3 linked regions of the Arabidopsis thaliana genome follow. The protein of the gene in region 1 purifies or fractionates together with the protein of each later gene. This does not show direct contact. Each region holds a gene or a part of one and is shown in the gene's direction. Other genes may lie near its edges.

Region 1 (3,755 bases):
ATCGTCGTTGCTCATGAAAGTAGCATTATCTCAAAACGGTGTAGTGATGGGTAAGAATATATTCAAATGGGAATTGTTTCCGAAAATATTTGTATACATCTCAAACGAAAGTGATGTGGACTTGCATTCTAGTTGTTATTTTAACGGAAATTCGATTGATCGTTACCGAGGATTAGTTTTACCGTGGCGTAGGAGATTACTCGTTCAATTCTGGAAAAGGTTTTGGGGAGGAACTCGCTATGTTTGTCAATTTAGATTTGGGAATGAAAGACAAATACGTCATTTTACTATTTATAAAGATAACAGAGATAATATTCACAAATATGAGTGCAGACACTGTTTTTGGACCATCAGAAGGAATGGACCTTGTGCCTTAAATTCACATACTGGAAGATATGACATTTGTTATGCTTGGGATAAATAAACCAGTAATATATTGTTCTTTATATGATGATAATAATTAAAGGGTGATGAACTAATACTGGTTAATTTTCCAGTTGAATGATACAACGTATTTAATATAATCGGACTGTATAATTTTTGAGTCACGGCCGTATCAAATCGGCTAGTTTTGAGGTAACTCAGCAAGTAAGTTAGAAATTTTGCAATTCCGTTGACTGTAAAATTCATGCACCATCATGTTTTGATTCTATATGAGTGAGTAGTATCTTTTTGGCATGTTGTTGGGTTTAGGGATCCTGATCATCATGTCACTCTCCTTTGTTGTACATTTGTTATAGATGAAGGAAAGTACTTTATTGTTTCTTGGGTTTAACATATAAGCCTTGACCCTCTTTCTAGAATAACAAATCAAGTCGCTTTAAGCCTTTAACCTACAATTAGATTTTTTAATGGTAGCATTAACAATAATGTGTGTTTCAATAGAATGCAAAACGGTTATTAGATCATAAACCCCCAAGCTAGCAAGTCAATGTTTTAAGTTAACGCACGGTACGTTACAACTTAACATGGTCTAAACAAATTCATTAACAAGCCTATAAATATATGAATAGAAAACGAACCTCAACGAAACATTGCAAACCATAACATAAAGAAGAGAAAAGATGGCTTCCCATAGAAAACTGATAATGCTTGTGATACTATCCTTGCTTATGAAAGTAGCATTATCTCAAAACGGTGTAGTGATGGGTGAGAATATATTCAAATCGGATTTTTCTTTTGAAAATATATGTATACATCACAAACGATATCGGAGATGGTTTGGTGCTAAATTCTAGTTGTCGTAGTAATGGGAATTATTAAGACCAAGTATTTTTACCGGGGCGTACGACGGAATTCGTTCAGTTTAGGAAAAGTTTACGGGGACTAACTCGTAACGTTTGTATGTTTATATTTGGTCATAAAGCACAACGTATTACTATTTATAAAGATAGCAGAGATAATATTGACAAATATCAGTGCTGAAACTGATTTTGGTCCATCATAGTGTATGGAGCTTGTGCTCTTGATGCACAGACTCGAGAATATGATCTTTGTTATGCTTGGGACTAATAAACATATTATATATGGTGATAAACTGATAATAGTTATATACAAAAAAAATTACTATCTGAACTCATGTTCTTATTATGCAATATGTAACGGTAAGATCTGTGCCGTTGAACGGTTGGATCGGTAAGGCGTAGAGAAACTCAGGTAGGCTTTGATCACAGACAAACTTTACTCGGTTATTTGCATTAGGTTTTACAAGGGTAAAAATGTAATCTCAGAGACAAGGAGACGATTTTTTTAAGCGTTGATCCCGCCTGTGATGCAAAATTTGAAATTTGTTTCGCACACGTGTGAGAGAGCCTTCTACCGCACGTGCCAGTGCCTTCGGATTTGTTTCCTCATTATAATCCCGCTCAGGAGGCGACCTTGAAATATTGCCCAGATCGTCACTCTCCCCAAGAAAGCTCTCTTCTCTCTCTCACTCTCTCTCTCTCATTGTCTCTCTACACAGTTTTGGAGTTTATCAATAGCTTTATTGAAGATTCAAAGGTAAACACAAATCCATGGTGTTTCTTCTTCTATTTGATTGCGTTTATAGACGTTAGGGTGGGGTTTACCGGTGTTCTTGTGACTCGATTTGAAATTGGAATCGGGTGATTTGTGATTTCATTTTGGGATTGTTTGTGATAACCTTTGGTTGTGTTCTCCGTTTCTTGATATATTATTCTGGAAATTTTGGGGTTGATTTTTAAGGAGAAATGAACGATTTGATTTCTGGGTAAAACCCTAGGGTTTCTTCATTCAGTTTTGATGTTTCAGTCTCTAATTGAATCTATGTTGTTGTTTGTTTCAGCGACGTTATCAAAATGCCAGAAGCAAGAGATCGAACCGAGAGGCCTGTGGATTACTCGACTATATTTGCCAACCGACGGAGACATGGTATTTTACTTGACGAGCCAGATTCACGGCTTAGTTTGATTGAATCTCCGGTGAATCCAGATATTGGGTCTATTGGTGGAACGGGCGGGCTTGTGAGAGGCAATTTCACTACATGGAGGCCTGGTAATGGCAGAGGTGGTCACACTCCATTTAGATTGCCACAGGGAAGAGAGAATATGCCCATAGTGACCGCTAGGCGTGGAAGAGGTGGTGGTTTGTTGCCTTCTTGGTATCCAAGAACACCTCTACGCGACATAACTCATATTGTGCGGGTAAATTGACAAGCTCTTTTGTGTTTTCCTGTTGATTCTTCTTTGTATAATCAGTTTTGGTCTGGCATGGGTTTTGCTTTGCAGCTTGGTTAAATGTTTGGGATCTCTCTTGTTTGTGGTGTAGCACATGGAAAATGGTTTCTCTGAGTCTAAGTTTCCCCATTGGTTTTTGTAATCCTTCTTTTGAGCTGAATTAGGAATCTGCTACTGATAGGTTTGGTTTGTTAAAGCGTTTCTGTTTATTATTGATCATAGCAGGCTTGCTTAGCCTATCTGTATAAGTTTTATCACATAGATTTGTTGCCTTAAGGCTTGCTTAGCCTGGCGATTTATTCTGTTGACACTCTTGAACTACAGGCTATTGAGAGAAGAAGAGGAGCTGGGACTGGAGGAGACGATGGCCGAGTTATTGAGATCCCAACTCATCGACAAGTTGGTGTTCTTGAATCTCCAGTACCACTGTCAGGAGAACACAAATGCTCGATGGTCACTCCTGGACCATCTGTGGGATTCAAGCGTAGTTGCCCACCATCAACTGCTAAAGTTCAAAAGATGTTACTTGACATCACTAAAGAGATAGCTGAGGAAGAAGCTGGCTTCATCACACCCGAGAAGAAGCTACTCAATTCTATTGACAAAGTTGAGAAAATTGTGATGGCGGAGATCCAGAAGTTGAAGAGCACTCCTCAAGCTAAAAGGGAAGAGCGGGAGAAGAGGGTGCGGACTTTAATGACTATGCGATGATCTTTACTTAGGAGAAGAGACCAGATGCGATGATCCTTACTTAGGAGAAGAGACCATAGAGGTATATCTGCTTAAAGGTTCCTGCACAGTGAGTACATCATCTTCTTATGATATCATAGATGGATCTACAGGTCATCCTCTAATGACATATCTTCACAAGTTCGGTGGTTTCTTAGACTTGTATCATTTTCTGATGATTTTATTAGAAGCGTCAATCATCTTTTGACGATTTTATAGGATACTCGTTTTGGAAAATCATTGTTCTGATGATAGAATAGATCAGGAATCATCTGCTGATGATGATATCATAGGAAAGATTATAATAGTTCACACATTTCATATCTGAAG
Region 2 (3,755 bases), about 14 Mb from region 1:
CTTAAAACAGGAATGTTAGATCGTTGGATGTTCCGCTTTATTGAATCTTTCAACAAGAAGCCGAGTACTAGAGCGTAAACTAGCTGAAACAGAGACAAAACAATGAGAAACAAAAAAAACCAAAGGAAGGAAGAAGAATCTCTCAAATCCCAAAACTTGTATCTGCCTTCTTCAGACAACAACACCCACCAGAGATTCCAGGATTGATGATTACATTACTCAGAAACTCTAGAATCCATGGATATAGTTTTTTTTTGAGTCTCTCTTATGTATTACTCTGATTATCTCTGGTTAAACTAGTAGAGTTAATTTGTAATTTTTATTCACCTTGCTTCCTGGGATTTTAACATTTTTGCATCTTTTCACTTGTCTCAGTAAAAAAACAAAATTATACTGTAGCTCACCGTAAGATAACGTACACTCGTCACAGGTGATCCTGTCCTCACAATTCTCTCTGATTTCGCTTACTCTTTCACTGAAACCCTAATTTGGGGTTTTTCAGATTTCCTTCAATCTCTCGTCGTCATTTCTTCGTCTCACCGTTGAATCTGAAAATGATCGCCGGAGTATTGCGCCGATCTTCACTCCCGTCGAGGCAGACTCTCTCCGCCGCGTTAGCCTCCTTCAATTCGTGTATTTCGCACAATCTCACTCCAGCCACCACCGGAGCTTCCGTCAGCTCTCGATTCACTCTCGCGTCGTCTCCTAACTCGTTTGGCATCAGAGCGAGGAACATCCACATTAGATCTGAGCCGTCGATGATTGTTCCCGCAGGAATCGCGTCACAAGGTTACGCCACTGTCACAAAGGATCGCAAAAACGAGATTAAGAAAGCTAAGATTAAAATTTCTCCAGACAATGTCAGACCATTGAGTAGGAAGGAGATCGCTCTCCAGGTATATGCATTTTTGTTCAAATTCATAGAATATTATTCAAAGTGCTTCATCAGATTCAAATTCGAATAGGAATCGGAATGTGAAATTCATTGAAATGATTTAGAACTGTTGTTTATGTTGTTGTTGTTGTGTGTTTGGGGTTGAATTGTAGAAAGAGGCAGCAGAAGAAAGCACATCAAAGATAAAAGGAACAAAGATTTGTATAGCGATTCGGTCTTTTGTTAACCCGGAAAAGCAAGCTTGGTGTCTTCCTCCTCACACTCGTAAAGTCGCAATGCCCGATACACGAACTCTGTACACGGTGCTAAGATCGCCTCACGTCGATAAGAAGTCTAGAGAACAGTTTGAGATGAGGTTCAAGAAACGGTTTCTTGTCATCAAAGCTCAGAGTCATGAGTTGAGCAAGAAGCTGTTTTGGTTAAAACGTTATCGTATTCTTGGAGCTCAATATGAACTCCAGTTCCATTGCAAGACCCGTTTGGATATGACTCAAGTGTTAGGCAACATCAATGGCTCCACCACCAATGCTTACTGAGATGGCTAAAGACATCATTTTGTAGAAGTTTCAAGACCCAACCGGGTACTATGCAATAATTTCGAACCTTACGGATCCATGAAACCAGCTTTGCTTCACATCAGATCAAGTAGTTATTTTCTTGCTTAGTATAAACATGTGTTTTTGGACGATTTTGAAAGATACAATTGAGTTTCAGTTACAGTGCTTTCCATTTATTCATTAGCCAATCAAAGTCTTTATACATCACCAAGGATTGAGACACATTTAGACTGCTAAAGGTGTCATTTTGAGAAGTTATAGAAACCTTTGACCCGACCATGGAATGATGTCGAACTTTAAGGATCCAAGAGCTCACATTTTAGGTGTATTCATTCATTAGGCAATTCTAAGACTTTTACATTGTACATAATCACTAATGATTTGAGACATATGGTATAGGTTAATTTGATAGATCTGATTCCGAACCTGAGCTATTGCCAATTTGCCACACTACACAAAGTTACAAAAAACAGAACTCATTAACTCTTTGCTTCACATTCAAGAACACCTTTGGGCTCAAGCAAAAAATAATAATCAACTCTGTTTCCTTACACAAGCTTGCACGTGTAGGAACATACCATACACTCACCCGCAGGTGATTATAACAAAGTTCCCTTTATACCCGCCTTTGATTCTTCTTCTTAAATCTCTAAACCCTTTTGCCGTCTCCCTAAAACCCTAATTCTCATTTCTGGGGTTTCACATTTCATCTTCACCAGAATCCATCACACTCTCTGAAATCTGAAAATGATTAGCACAGTACTTCGCCGATCTATCCTTGGTACGTCAAGGCGTACTCTCGCCGCTTCGGTGACCTCCATTAACGCAGCTCTATTTCATAACCTTGCTCCAGCCGCCGCCACAGTCTCCGATCTAGCAAATGGAGCTACTAATGTCAAGTCTCTCCCTTCGAATTCGAGCCCTTTTGGTGTTAAAGTGAGAGACTTTCATGTTAAATCTGTACCGTCGGAGTTTAGATCGTCGATTGTTTCTTCTGCGGGATTCGCGGCTCAAGAGTATGCTCCTTCTTATGAGAACGATGGAGGGATTGGAGATTCGGAGAGTGTTGGTAGCAGCGGTGGTGGTGATGGGCTTGCGATAGCTGATCTTGGTATATCTCCGGAGATTGTTAAAGCTTTGAAGGGTAGGGGTATTGAGAAACTCTTTCCTATTCAGGTATATATGATCTTCTTCTCTGTTCCATTTGGTTATAGAGATCAATTAAAAGTTTAGATTTTTTTAACTGAGTTTTTGATGTTTGTGTTTGGTTGAATAGAAAGCTGTGTTGGAGCCAGCGATGGAGGGTCGTGATATGATTGGCCGTGCAAGGACTGGAACGGGAAAGACACTTGCTTTTGGGATTCCTATTATTGACAAAATCATCAAATTCAACGCTAAACATGGGTTTGTGTTTACTGTTATATATAACGATCATTTGTGATTGAGAGATTTGCACTTCCTTTGGTTCTTATGTTGTCTTTTGATGTGACAGTCGTGGGAAGAATCCTCAGTGCTTGGTTTTGGCACCGACGAGGGAGCTTGCTCGTCAGGTTGAGAAAGAGTTCAGGGAATCTGCTCCAAGTTTGGATACTATTTGTCTCTATGGAGGTACACCAATCGGGCAACAAATGAGGGAGCTGAACTATGGTATTGATGTGGCGGTTGGAACTCCTGGTCGTATCATTGATCTGATGAAAAGGGGAGCTTTGAATCTATCAGAGGTTCAGTTTGTGGTTCTTGATGAAGCTGATCAGATGCTTCAAGTTGGATTTGCGGAAGATGTTGAAATAATATTGCAGAAGTTGCCAGCGAAGCGTCAGAGTATGATGTTTTCTGCAACAATGCCAAGTTGGATCAGATCTCTCACCAAGAAGTACCTGAACAATCCTTTGACAATTGATCTTGTGAGTAGTCTTATACCTGCTTGTGTTTATATCTTAGAATTGCTGTACAAATTGCAAATATTGATCTTGGCTGTAGCAGTGTAGTTAATGAAGTGACATTTTTTAATGACACATGTACTCTTATGTAATTTAGGTTGGAGATTCAGATCAGAAACTTGCAGATGGGATTACTATGTATTCTATCGCTGCAGATTCTTATGGAAGAGCATCCATCATTGGTCCTCTTGTAAAGGTATGTTTTCTTTACTTTGCTTTTAAGCCAATTATCTGTATCTTGTTTTGATTCTTCATTTTTGTTTCCAGTCGTGATTTTATAACATCTTCTCCTTTACAGGAACATGGCAAAGGAGGAAAATGCATTGTCTTTACCCAAACAAAACGTGATGCAGATCGCCTTGC
Region 3 (3,755 bases), on another chromosome or scaffold:
AGATTTCCGAATATCCCAGCAAAGAATGTAAGGATCCTGAAAAAGAGCAAACAAAAAAGAAACATTTTTTTGGTGAGGTTAGGACAATTCATCATCCTATTACATATCATACTCTAATATTGGACACCAACGAGAATATCTCTGGACAGACGATACTTTCCTCCAAAAAGGGTTATCCTTAAAATGGAAGTCAAGTTGCGATATAATATGCTCAACATTCAGAGGGTAAAATGTTTATAACAGTATGTTACCTTGCGACCTCCTGTATATAAATAGTTCCCATCCTTTGAAAACTGGACCTAAAAGCCACCAAAAATTCGATCAATAATTGGATCATATCCCAATGGACAAAAATAAGGCACATTTAGTGGTCAATGCTTACATGTGTAACACCGCCTTCTTGACCATGTAAAACATACAATAGCTCCATGTTGTCTTCTCTATAAATCCCAGTAGTTTGCCCGTAAGACCCCACAGCCAACATTCCAGAATTAGTTGGGGAGAAAGCAAGAGTAGATAATATACCTGGAAATTATGAACCAGTTAAGGTTGTTCTTGTTTCTGTATAATCTGTAATAATATTGTTATGCAGCGTCTGAGTGGAAAAGAAAGAAAAAAACCTGCTTGGCCCTCTTTGTTTTTCTGTAGAGTTGAATACTGCCTAAAATCTCTTCCAGGACGATGAAGATCAAACACTCTGATGGAGCTGTTGTAACCAGCAAAGATCCTAAAGACATAACACAGGCAAATGAACATAGACCACTTTTAATCAATTCTTTACCGTGTGGGAAGATGGATACAACTTAGATGAAGTTTTTGCTTACTTGGTTCCATCAGGATTGAATCCAACTGAAAATGCAGCAGTTATTTCATCCATAGCATCATAGGCCCGGTATGTGCATCGAAGCTGACATTGTGTTATTCACATGTAAATAAACAAAAAAGGATGGTAGAAAAAATCTCCAGTAAACATGTTAAGTTTCATGGAAAAAATCAGCACCTCACCAGAAGTACTATCCCAAAGATGTATCGGATGGTCTCTAGTGGAGGTAGCGAAGACGCATGTTAAAGGGTCTGATATCAATCAGTGAACAGCCAAAATCAGTAATTCAACTGATGAAATCATTAAGCCAAAAAATTGAACCCCTTATGATGAGCTTATCTATTACCTGAAACTGACATGTATGGATACCAACAGAAATCATAGACAGATTCACCCTCATTCACTAGAAGACTCGCACCATACGAATCTACAATTCCAATAAACACACCATGAATCACAAAATTACTTCACACATATTTTACAGCATTTGCCACAACATACAAATGCTAGATGGAAAAGCTAACCTTCTTCAGGGACTGGCACTCCATAGCCATTAGAATCCCCTCCATCTTGTGGCCTGATGGGGCAAATTTGCAAAACTAAAGATTCAACAGAGAACTAAAACTACACAAACATACAAAATTATTGATACTTAAGCTACAAAAATATTTCAATTGAAATTATTCAACTTACAGATGAAACAGACTAAGTGTATTATCTTCAGAGCTTGCAAGGAAACATGAACCATCAGGTGACCTATATAAGAAACAGTAACAAAATCAGTACCTCAAAAGTTAGGCAAAAAGAAAAAACCAAACTTTGAGAAAGAACAAAACTCTACTCAAGAGATTGATTTGAAACAAGAAGAAAAGGGTACCACTTAAGACCCTTGAGGAAATTATTAGGGTTTCGAGCTGTCCTGAACTGCTTAGAGAAATGGTGCGTTCTATAAGGAGAGACATCAAATCTCATAGTAGGCCAGGATGATTTTTGTTCTCCTGATTCTACCTTAAGTCCACCATTTTCTTCTGCTACTGCTTCTTCTTCACCCATCTTCTTCGTCAGAGCTTCTGGAAAAAAGCAGCAGAGAGAGGTTTACTTTCGTTCTAAACCCCAGTCAAAATCTCCAAAACCTGAACCAGGTTTTCAATCTCAGACCGACAAATTGAACCGAACTTAAACCAAAAACCGGATTAGGGATTTTGATTGGAATTTGGAAGAAAAGCCCGCCAGGTTTGTCATTAGTGCGTCTCTCTCTTCTCCCGGCGGATCGGCGAATCCCGGCGACCACCGTCTTCTTTCCTTTATCCACTCTCTACAGCTTTCTTCTCAAGTGTTTCTCTCTAGTTACTTCCTTCCTACAGCTTTGCTAGATATTGAAAATTAGAATATTAACCCCTAATCCCAAAAACCTCGGAATGTCGGAAATGGCGAGTGACGAGGAAGAAAATATCATTCCTTTCCAGCTCCAGTTCGACAAGCCCATACCTTTTCAGGTTTTGGTTCTACTCCTGCTCAAAGTTCGTGTCTTTTTTATGCTTTTAAGGATTTAGATGTTTATATATGTTCAATTTCATTAGATTAAGATAGCTGAGTGGAACCCGGAGAAGGATTTACTGGCAATGGTTACTGAGGACTCCAAGATTTTGCTGCATCGGTTCAATTGGCAGAGATTATGGACTATTTCGCCTGGTAAAGTTTCTCTCTTTTGTTCACTTTGTTTGATTTAAAGTAGACAATTTTGATTACAAGATGGTTTGTGATTATTGTATTCCTTAACTTTCAGGCTTGATGAAAATTCGTTTGTGGAACTTAGTTATTTGCTGAAATTGAAAGTGGAATGCAATTTGAAGTAGGTTGTCAATAGTTCTGGTACTAAGTGTATTTCCTTTCTTTTGGTTTATAGGAAAGCCTGTTACTTCTTTATGTTGGCGTCCTGATGGCAAAGCCATAGCTGTTGGGCTCGAGGATGGAACCATTTCACTTCACGATGTTGAGGCAAGTATAGATTGAAACTAATCCATGTTTTACATGATGACGTTGTTGATAGCCTAAATATTCCTTTTTAAACTTTGCTGTATAGAAACTAGTATTATGTTTTATTTATAAAGGATCATGCTGATCAAAAAGTTGGTAATACTCTTTTCATGCAGAATGGGAAGCTATTAAGGAACTTGAAGCCCCATGATGTAGCTGTCGTGTGTCTTAACTGGGAGGAGGATGGACAATCCAATACTGTATGTTTTCTCCTCTGACTAGTTGTACAAGAACTCATGTTTGGTTGCGGTATCTATATTTGTGTTGACAAACTGAGAAAGTTTCTTTTACCAATCCCAGTTGAAGCATCTATTCTCTTAGTTTTTTTTTTCACACCCAACTCTTATAGTTATTTGAGCTTGTGCTTACTTTTTCTTAGAGTTTGGTTTACAGGATGAAAGTGGTAATTTCTCAGTTTATGAGGACCGGACCTCCCGTTTTTTTCCTCCTGCTCCAAGACCTCCAAAGATGCCTGGACTGGTAGCTGGTGACTCCAGTTTCATGGATGACGGTGAAGACTCTTTGGCAGAGCTATCCAATACCTCATTCCGGAAGTTTAACATTCTTTGCACTGGTGATCGTGATGGGAACATATGCTTCAGTATATTTGGAATATTTCAGATAGGAAAGATTGTAAGTCGCTCTTTTGACTGTAAGTAATTAGTAAGCCGTAATTATCCATTCATGTATTATGGTTGATGATGCTTCATCATCTTTCCATTCCGCTTGCATATAGAATTGCAGGATGCTTAATGAATTTCAACACTATTTCTACATGGAAATTATTTTCTGAGATCCTTAATTGTTCGTTTATAACAAGTAATTAATATTGTTAGGAGTAAAGTTTACGGTTTGTAAGTTTCTTATTTCTTTTCTAGCTATGAGCAATATTCTC

Evidence for each region.
Region 2: the proteins of UVI4-LIKE (region 1) and PMH1 purify together in Arabidopsis thaliana (affinity purification with mass spectrometry, with the first as the bait; one large-scale study listed by BioGRID). This does not show direct contact.
Region 3: the proteins of UVI4-LIKE (region 1) and APC4 purify together in Arabidopsis thaliana (affinity purification with mass spectrometry, with the first as the bait; one large-scale study listed by BioGRID). This does not show direct contact.

What each region holds. Positions count from the first base shown.
Region 1 is NC_003074.8:21,424,415-21,428,169, forward strand, and holds the start of UVI4-LIKE (UV-B-insensitive 4-like protein), read left to right. Parts: upstream 1-1,870; 5' UTR 1,871-2,001; intron 2,002-2,305; 5' UTR 2,306-2,318; coding exon 2,319-2,663; intron 2,664-3,020; coding exon 3,021-3,407; 3' UTR 3,408-3,755. Other genes in the region: AT3G57850 (uncharacterized protein), read left to right, coding at 1-50, 193-377. UniProt on the Arabidopsis thaliana protein: Negative regulator of the anaphase-promoting complex/cyclosome (APC/C) ubiquitin ligase required for proper mitotic and meiotic progression and cell fate determination. Involved in entry into both meiosis I and meiosis II.
Region 2 is NC_003074.8:7,885,183-7,888,937, forward strand, and holds the start of PMH1 (putative mitochondrial RNA helicase 1), read left to right. Parts: upstream 1-2,093; 5' UTR 2,094-2,199; coding exon 2,200-2,628; intron 2,629-2,728; coding exon 2,729-2,856; intron 2,857-2,944; coding exon 2,945-3,356; intron 3,357-3,489; coding exon 3,490-3,588; intron 3,589-3,690; coding exon 3,691-3,755. Other genes in the region: AT3G22290 (Endoplasmic reticulum vesicle transporter protein), read left to right, coding at 11-78; RPS10 (ribosomal protein S10), read left to right, coding at 555-896, 1,048-1,431.
Region 3 is NC_003075.7:11,448,502-11,452,256, forward strand, and holds the start of APC4 (Transducin/WD40 repeat-like superfamily protein), read left to right. Parts: upstream 1-2,050; 5' UTR 2,051-2,241; coding exon 2,242-2,319; intron 2,320-2,403; coding exon 2,404-2,515; intron 2,516-2,729; coding exon 2,730-2,821; intron 2,822-2,976; coding exon 2,977-3,060; intron 3,061-3,253; coding exon 3,254-3,493; intron 3,494-3,755. Other genes in the region: AT4G21520 (Transducin/WD40 repeat-like superfamily protein), read right to left, coding at 1-36, 252-299, 383-525, 621-727, 825-907, 1,001-1,074, 1,170-1,250, 1,348-1,400 and 2 more.